Tamandua tetradactyla: one gene and its partner. The protein of the gene in region 1 binds, or shares a complex with, the protein of each later gene. Links are inferred from orthologs where the notes say so. Each region holds a gene or a part of one and is shown in the gene's direction. Other genes may lie near its edges.

The links.
Region 2: CC2D2A (region 1) and TMEM231 share a complex: the UniProt entries of both Homo sapiens proteins name them as parts of the tectonic-like complex. The link is inferred for Tamandua tetradactyla from reciprocal best matches to the Homo sapiens genes CC2D2A and TMEM231.

The regions. Positions count from the first base shown.
Region 1 is NC_135345.1:14,654,407-14,661,871, forward strand, and holds the start of CC2D2A (coiled-coil and C2 domain-containing protein 2A), read left to right. Parts: upstream 1-4,454; 5' UTR 4,455-4,552; coding exon of another isoform or gene 4,553-4,565; intron 4,566-7,465. UniProt on the Homo sapiens protein: Component of the tectonic-like complex, a complex localized at the transition zone of primary cilia and acting as a barrier that prevents diffusion of transmembrane proteins between the cilia and plasma membranes.
Region 2 is NC_135342.1:70,244,901-70,252,181, reverse strand, and holds the start of TMEM231 (transmembrane protein 231), read left to right. Parts: upstream 1-4,273; 5' UTR 4,274-4,390; coding exon 4,391-4,529; intron 4,530-4,638; coding exon 4,639-4,808; intron 4,809-7,281. UniProt on the Homo sapiens protein: Transmembrane component of the tectonic-like complex, a complex localized at the transition zone of primary cilia and acting as a barrier that prevents diffusion of transmembrane proteins between the cilia and plasma membranes.

The DNA.
Region 1 (7,465 bases):
ACAATGTAAAATGATCTATAGTTTTTGAATAATGAATGAGGATTTGTCATGAAAATTGTTTGCATAAGTTTACACACTGGGCAAACTTAATAGATTGTGCCTGTGTCAGCATTTCTATTTTTCCCTGAAAGGTTTATTTATTTGACTAATGGTTTCTATATTCCTGTAAGATAAATTATTATTATATCAAAACAATCCAGCCACTCTGGGAAAGGTATACATTCTCCTAAGTTTACTCTTCTGCATAAGCTTTGGTATGTTAACCATCTCTAAGGGGAATATATATATACACATATACATATAAACCAAAAATGTCAAAACTGTTTATTGTTCTGAATATACACAATACTTTGTCTATTCAGTAAAGGTTTATTGAGCACTTACTCTATATCACACACTAAGATCTGTTTTGAGATATATTATAAATATTTTTAAAATCCCCATCTTCAGTTGAACACAGTTTGTTTCTGATTTGAATTCACTCCTCATGTATGTGTGTGTATAAGTTTAATGATAGTTGTGAAGGGTAGTAGAAATAGGAAATTTTGTAACACTGGTGAAACTAAAGGTCAAGAGATTTATTAAAAGGAATAAATATCCCTTCTAGGGTTTATGATTCACACTCAGGGTGAAGATTCAATAAGATCAAGGTAAACGAAAACATTTTAAGTATTTTCCCCTTTATGAATGTACAATGCACAATAATTTTAAATGTTCAAACAGACACATTAAGGAAAATTGAGTGCATGGAAATAATTCTGCTAGCAAAAGTGAGGTTGAAGTACAATTTCTCTACTTTTGTTCCATAAATTATGGCATAAACTTTCCTGTGTACTGCTTTGTCTCCAGAACAGTAACGTTATTTGGTTTTTTGTTTCATTTGGGTAGTTTTTTATTAGAGAAGTTGTGAGTTGCAGAAAAATCATGCATGAAATACAGGGTTCCCATATGACACCTGGGTAAGTGTGGAATGTTTGCTACAATTGATGAAAACACATTTTTAACTGTCCTATTAACTATTACCCATGGTTTAATTCTAGTTCACTGTGTTGTCAAGTTCCAGGGATTTTTTTTTAACTTCATTCTAGTAACATATATACAACCTAAAATGCCTCCCTTTAATCATATTCAGATACATGATTCAATGCTGTTAATTACAGTCACAATGTTCTGCTACCATGAACACCATCCCTTACCTTAACTATTTCATTACCTCAGATAGAAATTCTGTACATTTTAAGACAACATCCTGTTCCCTACCCCCACCCCACTCCTAGTCATGTATATTCTAGATTCTGACCCTATGAATTCCCTTTTTCTAGTCATTTCATATCAATAAGATCATACAATAGTTGTCCTTTTGTGCCTTGCTTATATTACTCAGCACGTCTTCAAGTTTCATCTACGTCAAGGCTTTATCTGAACTTCATTCTTTTTTTTACGGTTGAATAATATTCCATTACATGTATATAACAAATTTTTCTTATTCGTTCTTTGGTCGATAGCCTCTCCAACACTTATTATTTTCCATTTTTTTAATAATAGCAATTTTAGTGGATATGAAATGGTATCTTATTGCAGTTGTGATTGCATTCTCCTGATGGCTAGTGATGATGAGAATTTTTAAATATGCTTTCTGGCTATTTGTATATCTTCTTTGAAGAAACGTCTATGTGAATCTTTTGCCCTTTATTTTTGCATGGGCAGGCACCGGGGATCAAACCCAGATCCCCAGCATGGCAGGCAAAGATTGCCCGCTAAACCACCATGGCCCGCCCTGCCCATTTTTAAATTGTTGTGTTTTTTTTTTGGTCTCTTTGTTGTTGAATTGAAGGATTTCTTTATATATTCCAGCTATTAAACCCTAATCAAATACGTCATTTGCAAATATTTTCTTCCATTATGTAGGTTGTCATTTTACACTTATGATAAAGTTCTTTGAAATGCAAAAGTTTTAAATTTTCTTCTTCCTGATCTTGAAGGGAAAGCTTTCAGGCTTTCACCATTGAGTAGAATGTTAAAAGTGTTTTTTCATACATGTCTTTTATCATGTTGAGGATGTTTCCTTCTATTCTTAGTTTTCTAAAGTATTTGTGTTAATAAGTGGTACTGGATTTTGTCAAATGCCTTTTCTGCCTCACCTGAGATGACTGCATGCTTTTTTAATTTCAGTCTGTGAATGTGGTGTATTACATTAATTGATTTTCTTATGTTGAACCACTTTTACATACCAGGGATAAATCCTCACTTGATCATGGTGTATAATTCTTACAGTGTGCTGTTGGATTTGGTTTGCTAGTATTTTATTAAGGATTTTTGCATCTATATTCATAAGAAATATTGGTCTGTAATTTTCTTTTTTTGTGGTGTCTTTATCTGACTTTGGCATGATGGTATTGTTAGCTCACAGAATGAGTTAGGAAGTGTTCCTCTTCTTCAATTTTTTAAAAGAGTTTGAGAAGGATTGGTGTTAATTATCCTTGGAATGTTTGGTAAAACTCACCAGTGAAGACTTCCGGTCCTGGGCTTTTGTTTGTTCAGAGGTTTTTGATGACTGATTCAATATCTTTACTAGTTATTAGTATTCGAGATCTTCTATTTCTTTTTTTTTACTTTTCATTTATTCATTTTTTTTTTTAACATGGGCAAGCGCCGGAAATCAAACCCAGGTCTCCAGCATGGCAGACAAGAACTCTGCCTGCTGAGCCACCGTGGCCCATCCAGAGATCTCCTATTTCTTTTTGAGTCAAAGTAGGTATTTTGTGTTTTTCCAGCAATTTGTCATTTCATCTAGGTTATCTAACGTGTCAGGGTATTGTTGTTCATAGTATCCTCTTATAGTCCTAATTTCAGTGGGATTGGTCACAGTGTCTCCTTTTATCATTTCTGATTTTAGTTATTTGTGCCCACTCTCTATTTTTCTTCACCATTCTACCTAAAGGTTTGTCAATTTTATTTATCTTTTCAAAGAACCAACTTTTGGTTTTGATGATTCTGTTTTTTTCAGTTTTCTGTTTCATTTGTCTCTGCTCTAATCTTTATTATTTCCTTCCTTCAGCACACTTTGGGTTTGCTCTTCTTTTCCTAGTGCTTCCAGTTTTGAAGTTGGGCCTCTACTTTGCAATCATCCTTCTTTTTTAATAGAAGCATTTAGAACTATAAATTTCCCTCTCAGCACTGCCTTTGCTGCATCCCCTAAGTTTTGGTATGTAGTATTTTATTTTCATTTGCCTCAAAACATTTCCACGTGTTTTTTTTATTTTCCATTTCTCCCCCTCTGTTATGATTTCTAGCTTCATTTCACTGTGTGGTAAAAGATGATGCAATGATGATTTCAATATTTTTTTGTATTTATTGACACTTGTTTTGCTCTCTAAGATAAGGTTGGTCCTGGAGAATGATCCATGAGCACTTAAGAAGACTGTGTGTCCTGCTGCTGTTGGATGTGTTCTACATATGTCTCTTAAGTAGAGTTGGTTTAGAGTATCATTCAAGTCTTGTATTTCCTTACTGACAACCTATCTAGATGTTCTCTCCATTATTGAAAGTAGTGTATTAATGTTTCCGGTTATTATAACCACATTTCTCCCTTCAAATCTGTTAGAATTAACTTCATATATTTTGAGGCTCTGCTCTTAGGTGCATATATTTTTAAATGTTTTTGTTTTCTTACTTAATTATGTCTTTTCAAACCGGCACTTATCCATTCTGCCAATCTCTGCCTTTTGAATGGAGAGTTTAATCCATTTATATTTAAAGTCACTATGATAAGGCAGGTCTTTCCTCTGTCATTTTACTATTTTGTCTTTGTAAGTCTAATACTTTGTTTGTCCCTCCATTTTCCATTAATGCCTAGTTTCATATTCATTATTATTATTTTTTACATTGTATGGTATCAAGTCCCTTCTTGTGTCTAGGGCATATTTTTTATATATTTTCCTCGTGGTTGGTTACCCATGGGGTTAAAATTTAATATGCTAAATATATAACAATCACATTTGATTTGATAACTTGACTTCAATAGCATACATATGATACTGTTTGATTTTAAGGCCTCACCTTAAAAAGTAAAAGTAACTTGATGTCATATGGTGAGAAGAGCAATGAACAAAAGAGAGAAAAAGAACCGTTTAGATACCTGAGACCCTTGCTTTTGATTTGCCTAAGTCTGTGGTTTGCAGAATGTTACCCACCCTAACTCATTCCTAACTAGTGTATATATTAAGCTCTTTGAAATGTGAGTATTATGGGAAGGATCGCAGTTGCTTTAAATTATAGAAGTTGGCAAGTGCCTGGGAGAAGGAGTGGGAGGTTGTTTAAACTGAGAAAGACAGTTGCAAAACTTCGTACAACAGCATGAGCTCCAAGCTTCAAAAGCATTCTCATGCTCAGACGAGTGCTTTATTTTTCACCAAGTTATTTTTGCATTGTTTTGAAGCAGCTTCAAATAATAAACACATATTTTTGCTTTAAATTTTTTAATGGTTTCTAAATTCATGGGACAGCCAAAACAAGAAAGCCTCATGTTTTGGAGGAAAGTTTGACATCAGGAATGCCTAGAAAAGGTAAGCTACCATTTTCGCTACATTTTTCTCTTTTTTCCTCCTGTTTGGCCTTCGTCAAATACATTTACTGGAAGAACTTAAGACAGCTTCTTGTAAGGAAATGAGGAACTTGTAGAAAGTATGTCAACAAATGATAAATCAGAAGTTGAAAAGCCTCAGCAGTAGTATTTCTCCTACTTTCTATTCTGCTTGATGCATGAACTTTTGTGAAATATTTTTAGCTATATGAAAAAAATGACATTTCTCTTAGAAAATAGGGGCAGGAGTTCCTCAAAATCTCTATCCCGTATAAACCCAACACTTGCCTGTGTGCTGATGGGCTAATTTATTGTCAAGTTCAGAGTCTTTATGTTTTCTTATTCCACTATATGTAATTCACCTTTCGGAGCTATGATTTTTGCATCAACTCGGAAATCTTTCCCATGGAAGATTTTAATATCATTCCAAAAATTCTCTTAAGCACGGTTACTGTCACTTCTTATAAACTTGCTTTGCAGATAGTGGTTTTGAATGTTAAATAAATCATTTGACTTTTCCATTGTAACTACACTGGAGGATATTATAGACATTATATATCTGGGAAGGGGGAGTGGGGGACGTTCACCTGAATGTTTGTTAGTTCGCGTTGCAATTGGCCGAAAATGTTGCTCTCTGAATAAGGTGGTTTTGCATTATCAATTGTGCCTCATAAACAGGTAGGGAGCAGAGAGGCTGTGACGTTTTCTTGTATTTCTACGCATCGGTTATACGAGAGGTATCTTGTGGTTTTAGGTGAAGAAGTGTATAAATGCATAAGCTGTTCCTATTTCCCTGAGAAAGTCCCTGTTATCAGCATTTCCATCTTTCGGAGGCAGAATCCCAGGTGCAAAAAAAAGATACCCGCAGAGATCTGCAAATTCTTCTAGCAGGCTGAGATTTTGTCAGAGACCCACATTCATTCTTCCTCGCACACATACGTATGTACTCACAGCCAGCCATTAAAAAACCCTGAGGGTTCTGTTACGCTTCAGAGGTTTGGGACATCCCAGGTGACTTCAATCTGCAAAACCTGCTTGTATAGAAACATGAGCAAACCAGCCCAACGGGACATGGGTGAAAATGGTGGGGTACAGCATGGGGGACGCTGCTCCCGGAATAGTGAGGGACAGGAAGGGCCGTGAAGGGCTGTGCCTTCCTTGCCATACTAGCTGTTTTTCGGCTTTTTGAATAATATTTCCTTCTGTGTCAAATTCTAGTTGCATAAAGTGGATTATTGTAGCTTCCTCTGCCTTTTCTGGTCTCAGTGGAAGGGGAGGGGTCAAGGTCAAAGAAGGATGTTAGTACAGAAAAGCAAGAAGACAGCTTGGTCTCTTCCTTGCAAGGTGGTGGACTTAGTTGCCTTTCTCCATCCACAGCTGTTAGTGGAAGAAGTGAGGGACCTGTAACAGCCAATTTATTGTCCTCCTTTCCCTGTCTTCTCTTTCTTCCTTTTCCCCTCCACTTCTAATGTGCCAGCCCAGAGAACATCAAGAGAGGGAGGAGCGGGTTGGACTGACAAAATTATTTCCATCTCCGCCTTCCTGGTCCTCTCGATGTCCCCCTGGGCAGCTGGGGAAGCCCCCACCATATTTGGAGGGGGGGTCCTCCAGGTCCCCACCCCATGACCTCATTGCAGGCAGCCGGAGCCAGGGGGGGTGGGATGGCCAGCGGTTGCATGGCGCCTGAGTGCACCCTGGGGACGGGTGTGGCTGGGAAATGCGCCGTGTGGCATGACGTGACTGCTGGGGTCTGGGGCACCCGACTCCCCATTTTGGGGCTCCATGGAGGCTGGCGGCAATGCTGGACGCCAGACCCAGACCAAGCCTCTCCTCTGGGCCAGAGAAGGCTTGAAAGAGGACAAAAACAAAAAGGCAATTAAGGTTGCTGATGAAGCCCCAAGCCAGCTGACTCATCGGAGGCACAGTCTCTCAGGGGCTTGGCAATGAAACCTGGATGAGGCGCTGGAAAGGACAGGTCACAGTTGACCCAGGAAGGACACTGATGGGACGCCCAACCTGACCTATGGGTGCCTTCTCATGTCGGAGGGGCCGAGGGAGACGAACATCTGCCGGGTGGAGGGAGGAAGAGTGTTAACTAATGAACTGCTGGGGAGAAGGGCAGCATGCAGTCTGCCTGGCTTTGGGGTGGGAAGGTGGTGAGTAAAAGTTGCAGGTCCCAGCTCCATAAACCAGGATCTGAAAAGCCTCCGGTCAGGAATCAATACCTGAGTAGGGGTCTTAGCTTCCTAGAGCTGTCGTAGCAAAATGCCACACACTGGGTAGCTTAAAACAACAGCCATGGACAGTCTCACAGTTATGGAAGCTAGAAGTCCCAAGCCAAGATATTGGGAGGTCCTGCTCCTTCTAAGATTGTAGGAAACGATTTGTTCCAGGTTCTGTCCTGGCTTCTGGCACTGGCTTGCAGGGAACCCGAATGGCATTCACTGCCTCTGCTGTCCCATGACATTCTCCCCTTGTCTCTGTGTCCAATTCTCCTCTTCTTATAAAGATTCCAGTCATATTGAATGAGGGCCATCCTAATCCAGTTTGGCCTCATCTTAACCGATAATATCTTGGGCCACCCCATTTCCAGATAAGATCGCATTGACAGAACCAAGGGTTAGAACTCAAATCTGTCATTTTGGGTGGATGCAATTCAACCCCTAACAAGGGGCTAAGAGAGAAACGTTATTTTTATCGCAGCAGCCCCTTTGGAGTGGCCACTCTGCACCAGTGTCCTTGGCAAAAACAGACCAAACACAAACAAGCAAAATCTGCATAAGCCAAAGACCAAATATAAACTACAGTCTAGAAAGGTTGGAGAGAACACAAAGGGGGGCGCTTTGCAAATCTGCCTGCTGAAATCAAAGCAACTTTCCCAGT
Region 2 (7,281 bases), on another chromosome or scaffold:
TCAGGGCAGTCCAGTCTGGGTCATCATCTATTTATGAGCTGGTGAATGTTTAATAAGAATATTCACTTAATTGGGCACATGACCCTTACCCCGTGCTTGTGATTCTGATGCATCTGAATGGCCTGTATTTGAATATTATCATTCATCATTTCCTACAATTAAAATTCTCCATGGATGCTGTTGAATCTAGCTTCATTTTAAAATTATTTTTGTTATTTTAAGACTGCATGTCTGAGCAGCCAAAATAGGTGAGTGTTTGTTTGTTGATAATAACGTGAAAAATTCTTTTAATTTCATACATAGAAATCAGGTGTTTTTGTATACGGGAGCACTGTTCTAGGTGCTGGGGAAACAGCAGTGAGCAAAACACATAGCATCCCTGTTCTCATAGAGTTTACTAAAATTCTAGTGGAACAAGACAATAAATAAATATGTCATATAAATAGAGGTGCTGTTTAGAAAAGTAAAGCAGGGTAAGGACCTAAAGAGTGATAGTGGGATAAAATGCTTTATGGATCGAGTGGTGGCATATTATGGGAACAGGAAGGAGCTGGTGTGTCTGGAACTGAGGGAACAAAGAGGACAGTGGTAGAAGAGGAGGTCAAAGAGGTTTTGAGCCTCATATACCATGGACAGAACTTTGAATTTTATTCAGAATGAGGTGGGAAGTTAGTGGAGGACTTGAGCAAAGGACTTTCCTTTTTAAATGATCAGACTTGCTTGTGTGTAGACAGTAGATTATGGTGGGGGGTGGGGGTGAAGGTGGAAGTAAGGGGACAAGTTAAGAAGCTGTTGTGATAATCCACATGAAAGATGATGTTGATTTAGACCAGGATGGTATCTATGGTGGTGGTGGGAAGTAATTATATACTGGATATATTTTGAAGGTTAGAGCTTACAAAATTGGCCGATACATTTAAGTAAAATGAAATGACCACCCACTTTGGGCATTGCCAGGAGAAGACCCCTTCCCAAAAAGCTTTTCTAGAAGACAAAAACAATTCTGAGAAAATGGAATACACCCTACAGGATTGCTTTGGTCCAGTAGAGAAAGCTTATCAGAATGGACAAGCATACCATACTATCAATTTATATCTGCTCCCCACTTTGTAAGACTCCTCTATGTAAAATGGAAACTAATAGCAGCCAAGCAGAACATTTCCTTGCTTGCTTCTGCTTTCACCCTGTCTGAGCTTCTCTTTTTCACCCCTTTAATGGCGCTTCCTTCTACTTTCTGAATGGAATCCTGCCCAGTTTAAGAATTACTTAATAATGCTTTAAGATCCTAAATTGTATGAAACGTATTGCTTTTATCAGATTGGATATGGGTGTGTATTAGAAGTCAAAGTCGAGGTTGTTGGAAGAATTGAATTGCCATTTGCTGAAATAGGGTGGAGCCAGTGTTGTTGAAGTGGGGTCAAGAGTTTGGTTTTGGATATATTAAGCAAAAGATGCCCAAGAAACAGATCCAAAAGACATCCAAATGAAGATGTGAAATTGGTAAATAGATCTATTAGTCTCAGATTCAGGGGAGAAGTATTTAAAGCTATGGAACTAGGTGAGAGCTAGAGGGTGAGTGAAAATAAAGGGAAAAATATCTATTTTAAGGATAGAATTAACCCCCAAGGAGTGAAGATGGTTGTTCACCTTCTCATAATGTGTGAATCAGCAGAGGAGTTAGAAATTGGACCCAGACTCTTGCTTCCCTTTACAGAGTTGGTAATTATGTTCTGGTCCCAGGCATGTATCTATCACCTTGCACATGAGAACTCAGTATATTTCTCAGGGAAAGGAGTTATCCACCATTCACCAACTCATGGTCCTGCCTCCTGATGGTTTCATTGATGTGCAGTGTCTTTCTGTCCTCTCTCCCTACCTACTTTTTTTTTTATGTCTTTTCCCATAATAAATACTTGTGTAAAGTTCATGCACCTCACAGAAGCTGAAACACTCAATGCACCTACATTCTTAGCAGTCAGCTGCTTCTATTTCAGCAGTAACTAAATTGAAACTAGCTACAGTATGTTTCCTTCAGCAGTCCTTCAAAGCCTCTTTCCTCCAAAGAGGACTGTAACCAAGAAACCAGGATTTAAGTGATGACTTTGATTACTGAATCATTATATAAATATTCCTTTTTCCTTTATGGCATATTGGACAGAGGGAAATACCTGAAATCTCTGAACTGTCCTGATCCCTGGTAATGATTGTATAGCCCTTATCTTCTCTGTGATTGTAAAAACCCTGTGACTGATCTTCATTTTACCAAGTTATCCAGTTTTTCAACTTTAGAGTCTTGTAATAACTAAAGACAGCCCCTAATATTTATTAATGAAGTATCTTGGGTCTGGACCAGAACTAACCCACCCCAAATCTAAAGTTATCTTGATAAAAGAGACTGGATCTAACAAAAGCGGGTCTGCCTGACATGTGCAGTAGCTTAGACTTTAACCTGTGAGACACCTATACCTCTCCATCATTTTCTTACACACGTTCTGTAACTAAGCATGTAATCGATCTGCACAAGCTCAATAATTAGATCACCTCTAATTACATCATCTGGGGCCATTGTGCTCATTATTCTAAACCGTGCCCATCTTTTCTCTAATAAAACTATCAGAATTACTGCAGTTCAGGGAAACAGATTTGGGACAGCTAAGCCATCTATTCTTGTACTACATGCCTCATAATAAACGCTATCTCTCTTTGAAACCCTGGTGTCTCAGGAATTGGTTATTGAGCGCGTCGGGCAAAAGAATCCACGGCCTTTGTCCAGTAACAGGGCCACACTCAGGAGGCACTATCTGGCATCTGTTCTAGAAAAATCTTATTTTAATAGCTACTTGAGTAAATGAAAATCATCCACTTAAAATGTACACAGTATAATTTTTAAGAATCAAACCATAGACTTGAGCACAAAAATTGCTGAAGTTAAAAGCAATGTTGCCACCCCAGAAAAGCTTTAAAAGCAAGAATGAGAGTACTGGACTATGTCAAAGTCATATTTTATGGTTGAGGACAATGTCATCTTGGACCCTTGTAAGGACCCTGAGGATAGTTCTCCAGAATGGGCAGCTCTTGATCTCTGTATGTTTGAATCGCAGCTGTTCATCTAGTAGCTACTTCTAGGTTGCCTTCAAATTAGGGGCACCAGCTACCGGACTCCACTCAGCACAAATTTCACATTATCTCTCTCTCTTTCTTTTTTAAATATTTTTACTGACAAAACAACATACAAACAAACATTCTTAACATATGAACATTCCATATATGGTATACAATCAGTGGCTCACAATATCAGCACATACTTGTATATTCATCACCATGATCATTTCTTAGAACATTTTCATCGCTCCAGAAAAAGAAATGAAAAGAAAAAAGAAAAACTCATACATACCATACCCCTTACCCCTCCCTCTCATTGACCACTCATATTTCCATCTACCCAATATATATATATATATATAATCATTTTGTTCTACATATATAAACAGTAATTCACAATATCATCACATAGTTGCATATTCATCATCACGATCATTTCTTGGAACATTTGCATCTATTCAGAAAAAGAAATAAAAGAAAACAGAAAAAAATTCATACATACCATACCCCCCACCCCGTCACATTATCTCTTGATACTACGATGTGCTCCTTCAGGACTCTTTAATGAACTTGGGTGTAAACCATGGTAAAAAAAAAAATTCTTCTGCTATGTCCAAAATACTAGTGTGTGTATGTGTGCGTGTATGCGTAGCATTCCATTAAGGGGTAAGCCAATGCTATTTTGGGGTAGGGCTACAGCTTTCCCTAAAACCGCTAGCCAAGCTTGTACCCACTATCTGCAAAGAGGTCAAGTATATCATGAGTACTATGTAGTAATTACCCTCTATCCGTCGGAGGCAAGGAACCTGGCTTTGGTCTTAGCCCAAGACCAGGTCCAGAATCTCGGCCACATTTATTTTCCTCCAAATAAGGTGTGTTTTCCTCCAAATAAGGTGTGCTGTGTCTGTTTGAAGTAAAGTATGAACCACATGGGGAGTTAACAGATGACGCATAAGCAGGTTTTAGCTTTGTCAACCTTTATAGAAATCTCATTTCACATCAACGTTAATACAGACGGTGGCTACGATTCTGCTTCAGAAAGCCTCGTTCCCACGTGGCCTTCAGGGAAACCCACACACAGCGTAAACCTAAGCGGATCCTCCACCAACTGACACCACCCCTTTTAGTCCCACCCCCACCAAAGCCTTGCGACTTTGCTATTGGCTCCTCTTGCGCCGTCTGTTGCCATAGAGACTTAGGCTATGGCAACCGGGAGAAGCCAAACTTGGTCGGCCCCCTAGACTAGCCCCGCAGTCCCTAGAGTGCGGCCCGACAACACGCGGCGCCCATGGCGCTCTACGAGCTCTTCTCTCACCCAGTGGAGCGCCGCTACCGCGCGGGCCTCTGCTCCAAGGCCGCCTTGTTCCTGCTGGTGGCAGCCGTGCTCACGTACATCCCGCCGCTACTGGTGGCCTTCCGGAGCCACGGTGAGCCTGTCCCCGGCCGGAGCGCACACAGCTCCCCGCGGCCCGCTGCGCCCGGGCCGGCCGCCCTGACCTCTTCCCCACCGCCCTCCCTCCCTCTCTACCTCCTCAGGGTTTTGGCTGAAGCGGAGCAGCTATGAGGAGCAGCCGACCGTGCGCTTCCAGCACCAGGTACTGCTGGTGGCCCTACTGGGACCCGAGCACGGTGGGTTCCTCGCCTGGAGCACGTTCCCCGCCTTCAACCAGCTGCAGGGGGATCACCTGCGCGTCCCGCTCGTGTCGGTGCGTGGCTGGGAAGGAGGGCGGAGAGGGCGGGTGAACGGACCCCGGACCTCGGGAGGCCAACCGGGGTCCTCGAGGGTCGCGAACCCATGGAACTTGTGTACCCAGCTTGGTTGGCCTTAGCGTGTATTTAATTTCTTGGGGAGTAGATAGGTTGTTTCATTCAGTTTCTCCAAAAAAGCCCACGAGCCCAAGCTGGCCACTGCAGTCGGGGAGCAGCCTGTCTCTGGCCTGACCTTTCCGTGAGCTAAACCTATGGAACGGTTCTGAAAATGTCTGTGGGAGCCATGTGGGCGGACCGTGTTAGTGGTTAGTAGTTGAGCATCCCAGCACCCTAGGGGCTGAAGGGGCCAGCAGTTTTATGCTGACTTGGCCGAGAAACTGATTGTTAAGGGACCTTTCCAGAATGTGCTGCTGGCAGAACCACGCCTCCTTGGGCTTATCTCCTTAGATGCTGCTCCATCCTGCACCTCTCTAGGATGAAATAGAAGGATTTTAATGCCTGTAATTTAGTTTTGGGTTCAAGATAAGTGAGTGCTTCTTTTACAGTCACCCCTTTCCACTCATTTTCTGAGAATATTTTCCTTCATAAGTGTAAAACAATTTCCTTCCAAAGCCGAGTCTCTGTAGCGCCTCTGAGAGTATGGTCTGCACTGTACTTATTTTAATTTGCTGGGGAAAAATTCAAACTTTCTTCCAGCAACCCAGTAAGATGATTTTTTTTTTTAAATCTGGTCATTTGAATGACTATAAATAAAATATGGTTCTAATAACCTTTTTCTGGTTACTTTTTAAATTTCCCTTCATTTTTTCTCATTACAACAGTGTGTGCTTATTGTAAAATATTAATTTAACATATATAAGGAGAGAAAATAAAAGGCTCAGGCACATGTATCAATATTTGCTGGTCATCCTTATTCTTTTTAAAACCTGCAAAGTATTTCATGATATGGAAGAACTATAATGCTTTTAGCCAGTTCCCTGTTAATGGATATTTTATTTGCTTCCTGTTTTTCACTATTATGGACAATGATGCAACGAGCTAGATTTTGAATAAATCTTATATCTTTAAATGTCAAGTTGTGAGGAATTGAAGTACAAGCTGTTTATTGTAATTGTGAGAAGTGCATAGAAAACTAAACAAGAAAAAAAGCATTAACTCCAGGGAAGTAAAAAAGTACGGAAAAATGTGGAAAGGAAAAGTAATCAGAATAGTGAACAGGGTTTACATAGTCATAAGTATGTGAATGCTGAATATTGACTAACTAAATGTCAGTTTAACTGTTTTGGGAGGATAGGAAGGGTGTATGTGTGTGGTGGAGCTAGGTGGGAGTAGGCAAGGGGAAGCTAACTTTTCACTGGGGAAAGTAATAGAAAACGTCCAAAACTGAAAAATTGGGAATTGCCAATACAAACGTTAGAGACATGGAGATACATTTCTAACTAATCATATAAGAGGGTGCAAGGGTATTTTCGTGATAGAAGTCTCGCCTGCCATGCGGTAGACCCGGGTTCAATTCCTGGCCTATGCATTTACCCCAGCAAAAAAAATTTTTTCAACAAGTTGTTCATCATACTCTTCAAGTTATTTGAGTCTAAGAAATAATCATGAAAACTTACAGCAGCATTAGGAAGATACAGCTTTAGGCCCCATTAGTTGATTCTTTTCACTTGTTAATTCACCACCCTGGATGAAAGGATGGCTCCCCCCTGGGACTGCTGGTTAGCCGCTTTGTAACCAGCACTCCCTGGAGAGGACTTCCAGTCTCCCCCTATTTCCTGTGCATATGGGTTTCCATTTTAAATCTAGAGCCAGGACTACCTGTTAATTTTTATGGTGCCCATAACCATTAATTCTCCTTAATACTGGATAATTTTACACTGTTGGTAAAATACAAAATCCAAGCTTCTTTTTCTTAGTCTTTTTTTTTTTTTGCTTCTTTCTCCACCACATTCTGTAAGTATATGATGACCTCATATCTGTAGTCCTTCTCAGTAAATGTTTTGCTGACTATCTTTTTAACCCTTTTTTATTATATAACATATATACAAAGCAGAGAAAGAAAAAAAGCAGTAGTTTTCAAAGCACTCTTCAACAAAGGACAGATCCCAAAGTTTGTCATGGGCTACCATACCATCCTCTCAGAATTTTTCTTCTTGCTACTCCAGAACATAGGAGGCTAGAAGGAAGATTTTTTTTATCATCGCAATCTACTTTTTTTTTCTTGTTTTGTGAAAAATAACATATATACAAAAAAAGCAATAAATTTCAAAGCATAGCACAACAATTTGTTGTAGAACATATTTCAGAGTTTGGTATGAGTTACGATTCCACAATTTTAGGCTTTTACTTCTGGCTGCTCTAAGATATGTTACCAGACAAAGGCCATGAATTCTTTTGCCCAACGCACTCAGTAACCAATTCCTGAGACACCGGGTTTCAAAGAGAGAAAGAGTTTATTGCTACACCCGT